Saccharomyces cerevisiae S288C: one gene and its partner. The protein of the gene in region 1 interacts with the protein of each later gene in a pairwise test. Each region holds a gene or a part of one and is shown on either strand. Other genes may lie near its edges. The genes, in order: CLP1 and GSP2.

Region 1 (3,815 bases):
CATCTAACAGTATCCTTATTATATTATCTAGAATAGGAAGTACAGGAGGAGGAACAATAGATGAAGATCTTAAATTACTATTATCCTTGAGCAGAGGATTCCATTCTAGTGAAGGTCTAGTAGGGGATATTAACCGAAGAAATACTGCTGTTGGCACTGATATGCCATTATCTTGTGAGCAGTGAGCATGTATTAGGATTAATATGCATAGATCGTACGGAGTAATAAAGTTAGTAATACCCAATGGACCATACTTACTCATTTTTCTGATCAGTTTTGATTTGCCTTTTCCTTTTAACTCTCGTCGTTTTTTATATTCCTCGATGAAACTGCAGCAGTTTTTTAGCTAGCGCAAATAATGTCAAAGACACAAATTGGCAATATTGTTAATATATAAGCGTTGGAAAAATTAAAAATAAAAATCACCCAAACAATACTTCGACAGTACAGTACGATATTTGTATGGATTTGATATAAGGCTCTTGAACAGATAATTTTACTTACTCTAAATATCTATATGAAGTTAGAATCATCGCCTTGCTGGGAAGTCGGCCTGGGACAGGTAGTAAAACCCTTAATTTACGCCTTTTTTCATTAACTTCTGTAATCAAAGCGAATCCTAAAATAGGCGATTTTATTACTGTTGCCTGATCTGCCCTTCTTTCTGCGAACGTTATGGCTATAATAGCGTGCTGTAGGTTACTTGGAGTTATAGTGACGGGGAACAGTTCCACCCTACCGACCTCGTTATCGAAAACATTGCTAGGTTTCCAAATAGTTAAATCCTCATAATCAACACCAATAGCATAAGGACTCAAGGCTGTATCAAGAGAGCCGTAAAAGTACTCTCTTATGGATGTCCTCTGCAAGGATCTTTTGTATACATCATCAACTGCGGATACACCATCCAATTTAGGAATGAAAAAAATATTATTATTTCCCAATTCTGGACCAAATGTCTTTTTTACTTTCTCCCAAAGAGGATCCGTTTCAGAACATAGTACTAGCATAATGTTAACATTGAGTTTCTCAATGATATGGTGCAGTTCAGCCAAATTTTCATCCAGTTGTGATATTGATGGCGTATCGACAATGCACCCTGATCTCCTGACTTGAGGATCCAAATGTAACCTTTGACCTACTACTTGACCTAACTGGCTTATACACTCAAGGTATAGATCTTTGTTCTCATTAATCCTTTCCAGGCCAAAATTTTTCACCATTGGCTGCTTATTATGTAGTAGTGTGGCACCACTAGTGAGACTCTGACCCCAAGTGGGTAGTTGTGCATCAAGTATATCTGATATTGGGGTGGCAGATATGCATCCAGGAACAGTAAAAATGGGCTGTTGAGGGTCAAGATTGATGTATAGTGGTTGGTAAGCGTTGAATTTCAAAGCGTAAGAACATAGTGTCCTCGATAGGGAAGTCTTCCCGGTTTGCGAACCACCAACAATCACCACTCGAGGGCCTTCAAAGTTAGACATTCGTATCTTCTCCAACATGAAGTGTAGATTATAAATATATTTCATAGTATGGTTAGGCTTGACAGTTATTGTATTCGTAGTTAAATCAGGACATTTCCATAATAATTCTGTTTCTTCGACAGCGTATATGGGAAACTTCCAGTTCTGAAAAGTGTACTCATCATCTACTGCCAACTCGGTGCCAAATATCTCAACTATGCCCGAGTTTACCTTGACTATCAGTTTTCCCTCTGCTTTAAGATCAATTTGCCAATCACTGCCCTTGGGAATAACCAACTTGTGCCATTCGTTATCACCAGTTATCAATTCTTCAGAGGTAGTATGCTCATCAATACCAGGTAGACTTGCCATGATGGTTTAATCGTGTTGGAATTTCGAAAAGAATTAATAGTTTGTTCTTTTCCCTCGATAGAAAGGTCTCTGCTCATTTTTGCCAGCAGTCTTATTTTTTGCTGTTATTTTCTATTTTACCGGGCAATAACAATGAAGAGCACAAATAAGACAAAGAAAGGGAGATCGCCCTTTAAGTAAGTAGATAGATAATTAATATATGTAGCTAAATAAATCGACTTGTCAAGAATATATTTCTCTTATTAATCTCTGTTTTCAGCAATCCACTCGGGCCCGGATTTCAAGACCCACTCGGTCCAGGATCCATCATATAATCTAACATTGGGAACTCCTGCTAGCTCCAATGCTGTCTTGATAATGACTCCTGAAACGCCAGTTCCACAAGAGCAAATAGTTGGTTTACTTGGGTCCAAAGTGCAATGAAAGTCTTTCAATGCCTTTTCCAAAGTAGCGTGTATCGCCTCCCCAGCTTCTGGGTACGTTTTGGTCTCCGGATCAAGTAAACTTCCATATGGTAATGGTTGGGTACCTGGAATATGCCCCGATGGAATGTCGGAACGAGGCTCTGGTTCTGTACCTTCGAATCTACCGAGCGACCTTGCATCGAAAGCATTGAATTTCTTAGCCAGTTCCCCACTCTTTACCAATTGGAACATTTCCTCATAGTCTACAATCTCCTTGTCTTGGAAACTTTCTGAGGACTCATAATGACTCTTTGGATAGGGTGAAAACGCTGCCACCTTAGAGGAATCTAGAGGGTACTTAAACTCTCTGTACTGGTTGAAATTATTTAGTAAGTACACCTTAGGATGTCCCATCACTCCTAATGTCCAAGCACATCTAGGGGAGCTAAAGTTACCAACACGATCGTAAACCACTAATATATCATCTTTTTGAACTCCTAAATTACTCATAGCGTCGTCAAAAACCTTCTTTGTAGGGAACATATGTGGATAGGGCGATTTTTTGTCACTGATTGCATCAATATCAAAGAAAATGGAGTTTGGTATACGTGGTTTGGTCAAGAAATCCACTTTATTATCAAGCTTCCAACTGGGTAGGTACCATGTTGCATCAACTGGAACGATTCTATGAACCTTCTCACTGGCCACTAACTTAACAAACGCTTTTGGAGAAATAAGATCAAATAATGGCATTGAATGTATGGGCAATTTTCTTCACAACTTTATGCTTTTGTCCTCATTGTTTGAATGCACTTACGCTGTATTATTGTACACAGCTGAACATCCCGAGCGAAAATTTTAAAATGGTTTAATAGACGAGATGAGAGATGAGCTCTTTAAAGGTACTTTCTAAGAAGAAAAGTATCGGAACAGGACTTACCACGACAAACTAATCATGCCGGTTACTAAATCTTTATCTAAGTTGCAAAAGAACTTATCCAAGAAAGGGAAAAATATCACGGTTCATCCGAAGGGTAGAAAGTATGAAAAGCTGGTCAGGGCTACTATGCGTGAAGATAAAATCGCAGCCAAAAAGAAGCTTCATCAAGACAAAAGAGTCCACGAACTAGCTCGGGTAAAATTTATGCAGGATGTAGTTAACTCTGATACATTCAAAGGGCAACCAATATTTGATCACGCCCACACAAGAGAGTTTATTCAAAGTTTTATTGAAAGAGATGATACGGAATTAGACGAACTCAAGAAGAAGAGGAGGTCAAACAGGCCACCAAGCAATAGACAAGTGCTACTGCAACAAAGGAGGGATCAAGAGTTAAAAGAATTTAAGGCGGGGTTTCTCTGTCCAGACTTGAGTGATGCGAAGAATATGGAATTTCTAAGAAACTGGAATGGCACTTTTGGCCTTTTGAATACTCTAAGATTGATCAGAATTAATGATAAAGGTGAACAAGTCGTTGGAGGAAATGAATAAGAAGTGTCGCAGAGGAATCTTTATGGTTTATATGCTCTTTATATAATTTTATGTATATTATAGTAGAAAAAGCAAAGAAAA
Region 2 (3,388 bases), 120 kb from region 1:
ATTGGCAATTAACAACCGAGCGAGGCACAGGGCAAAGAGAATGTGGGTGAGACTGAACTATCTCTCCCAATATATTATACTTTTTTTTGTCGCGTCTACCAATTAAATGAAAACATAATTGGGAATACTTTCCTCTTCTTATATTTTATCTTAACTCGTTTCCGATCTTCTGATATTCTATTTGTATATGAATAAGAACATTATTGTAATCGAAAGAAGTATCTCTTTTCAAGAGGATTACTTTTCATTGAAAACTTTTGGACGGGCAAAAAAAAAAAAGCGCCAGCAGGAAGAAAAAAGGAATCTAGTAAAAAATAAAAATTAGGTTTATAAAGTAGTAAGTGAAGTGCAAGAGGGAGCGTTATTGGACGATCATATTGTGATCGGATCCCGTTTATTGGTCTTTGATTCAATTTAAAAGAAAAGAAATGTACAGGTTAAACTTCAACATACCAAAAAAAAATTACAATGTGGCAATTAAACAGAGAAGAACTAATTCTTTAAAAATAGACTTTCAGAACTATATATTAAAAATAAAAGAAATTTCAAAAAAAAATTTTTAGATTGATGTGAGAAGAAGCAGAATATTTTCGTATATAAATTTTCATGTTTTTATAAATCAGCATCGTCTTCATCAGGTAATGGTAAAGCAGTGGCTTGGTCCATTTCTTGCTGGTATTGGTGCATTAGTTGCTCGTCAACTTGCACCTCAGGTGGGGCCAATGCAGGAGACGCAACAAACTCCAATTGTGGGTTACCGGCAAGTTTTCTAGCCAACCACAAGAAAGGCTTTTCAAAATTATAATTGGATTTTGCAGAAATGTCATAATATTGTAAGTTCTTTTTTCTATGGAAAGTGATAGTCTTGGCCTTGACCTTTCTCTCTTTGACATCGACTTTATTGCCACATAGCACTATGGGAATATTTTCACACACACGGACTAAGTCTCTATGCCAATTAGGGACGTTCTTGTAAGTGATTCTGGATGTGACATCGAACATAATAATTGCACATTGAGCATTGATGTAATAACCATCCCTTAACCCGCCAAATTTTTCTTGGCCTGCGGTATCCCAGACATCGAACTTAATTTCACCGAAATTAGTATAAAAAGATAGAGGATGAACTTCTACTCCGATAGTTGCAATGTATTTTTTTTCAAATTCACCGGTCAGATGTCTCTTCACAAAGGTAGTCTTACCAGTACCTCCATCACCAACAAGAACTAACTTGAAAGTGGGAACCTCGGCATTGTTTTGAGCAGGTGCTGACATTACGAACTTATATAGGTAGTCACAGGTTTATATCTTTATTGTGCTTAGCCGAACACTTACTTTCTCTCAAATTCCATCAAGAATTATTGTTTATTCCTCCAGAAGAGATCAAGTACCATTTACACTATTTTTTGTATTTAAGGGGTGGCAGAATTCAGGATGCCACATGCGGCTTTTAATGATAGCAAGCTTATACAGCGGAAGACAAAAAAACGGGTAACTGACATTGTATATATTCACCTTGAAAATAAGTGCTAACGCCATGTAAGGGTATGGCCCGCTTAAAGGGCAAGTTCACTCCGCTCAAGATACAAAACTGAAACGATGAAGAAAAAAAGAGCATCTTGACCTCCCGTGACTCATTAAGACCACTTGAGACCACTTGCTCTATGTGTATCAACCTATAAACTGTATATCTTTTGCATTTTGCACCTCCTTAAGGAAAGAAACTCCCTTCGAAAGTATTATTTCCCTGTGGCCCCTTACTTCTCTAATTGACAAGACAGAATTTTCTCGATAATTCCCTGGATAAAGTGTCAGTTTATAGAGTAGATCTCACTTGCCTTTTGACTGCTTCCGCAAGCAGAGGGATCGTAAGTTGTACACACCATTGCCTTGGCTATTACCACCACAATGTCGTGGCAATAGCGGAACCGTGCGGATGTAGCCATTGCTGCAAGCGAAAGCGCGGAGGTTAGCGGCAATGGCGTTCAAAACGGGATGGCTTCTTCGCCAAGTACACGGAATAATATCCAGATAGAAGTATTTTTGTGCGGTAAAGGGTACCACATCTGCAGCAGCGCAATGAAAATTGCGTATCAACAGCAAAAGAAATACTTAAATAGCATGTTTAGCACTTTTGATATAAAAAGGGGCCGCAAATGTTCTGGCGTATTACTGTTTTTTCTTGTCAAATGTGTCACTAAGCAAGCAACTTGTAATCAAGACCTCAATTCAAGGTTAGTTTACTCCTTCTCTCAAATACTACGTAACAGATCTTATTGATGACTTTGGCTTTTACGACCTTCGCTATTTCCAAGATAAACAATTCGTCCACGAATGAAGATTCTAAAGTCATGATACTGTGCGATGAGCATCACCCTTTCGAGAAGGGTTACTTTAAGTCCGCCATACGAGCCTTCGGCAACAGCATTAAGCTAGGATTAATGGGTAACTCGCGACCAGAAGACGCAGCGTCCATATTCCAAGATAAAAATATTCCTCACGATCTGACGACGGAAGAATTCAGGTTGCAGCTGGTCTGTATGGCTTTTTCCTGGTTCATATTTGGTCTCTTCATCGCCTGCTTACTACTTTGTATCACGCTTGTGCTAACATCGCGATATCCTGGAGAAAATGAAAACAAAGCCACGGAAGTTGTGCCATCCAGTAATATTGACGACGAAGAAAAGCAATTATCGCTTTCCGACATGATTTAGTACTACGTGGAAGAAAGGAAAAGAAGCTGCTTTTCTCATTTAAAACATTTAGTTTATATACTTCGCCTCTGGAGGACTTTTCAATTTATGCAATATGTGAGCACTTCTCTATTCTCGATTAGGTCTCTGATATATACATATACATAAACATAAAGCAGTAAGTTGGGTCTATTATACTGACAACCCTGTTACCCGCATTGAAATTGACAGGCTGCCCATTGATTGGTCAGTTTCCCACTAACCCGCGCTGGAGCTGATTTTTCATATTTTTAAGGATTTTGTTTTAGCACCCATCCGACCTCAGTCAATATATCCTTTCGCGACCAGGCTTTCCTCCCTTTTGCTGCTAACTGGTTACAGATTTTCCTATTTTTGGTCATTTTTATCTTTGAAACTGATTAAGCTGAAAAAATTTGAGCTTCTTTGTTGTAAACTATTTTGTGCTTTCAGTTTTATTCTAGCTCGACAAAGGTAACAGACAAAAATGTCAGCTTTATTACCAAGATTACTCACAAGAACAGCTTTTAAAGCTTCTGGGAAACTTCTGAGGCTCTCTTCAGTAATTTCTAGGACCTTTTCTCAAACTACTACTTCCTATGCAGCTGCTTTTGATCGTTCCAAACCGCATGTAAATATAGGTACGATCGGCCATGTTGATCATGGGAAGACAACTT

What was found.
Region 2: the proteins of CLP1 (region 1) and GSP2 interact in a two-hybrid assay, tested with the Saccharomyces cerevisiae proteins (one study listed by BioGRID).

Annotation. Positions count from the first base shown.
Region 1 is NC_001147.6:800,470-804,284, forward strand, and holds CLP1 (cleavage polyadenylation factor subunit CLP1), read right to left. Parts: upstream 1,839-3,815; coding exon 501-1,838; downstream 1-500. Other genes in the region: APC5 (anaphase promoting complex subunit 5), read right to left, coding at 1-262; TUM1 (thiosulfate sulfurtransferase), read right to left, coding at 2,081-2,995; TMA16 (Tma16p), read left to right, coding at 3,198-3,734. UniProt on the Saccharomyces cerevisiae protein: Component of the cleavage factor IA (CF IA) complex, which is involved in the endonucleolytic cleavage during polyadenylation-dependent pre-mRNA 3'-end formation. Associates with HRB1/CF IB to form the cleavage factor I (CF I) complex.
Region 2 is NC_001147.6:680,832-684,219, forward strand, and holds GSP2 (Ran GTPase GSP2), read right to left. Parts: upstream 1,276-3,388; coding exon 613-1,275; downstream 1-612. Other genes in the region: YOR186W (uncharacterized protein), read left to right, coding at 2,280-2,714; TUF1 (translation elongation factor Tu), read left to right, coding at 3,199-3,388. UniProt on the Saccharomyces cerevisiae protein: GTP-binding protein involved in nucleocytoplasmic transport. Required for the import of protein into the nucleus and also for RNA export. Not essential for cell viability.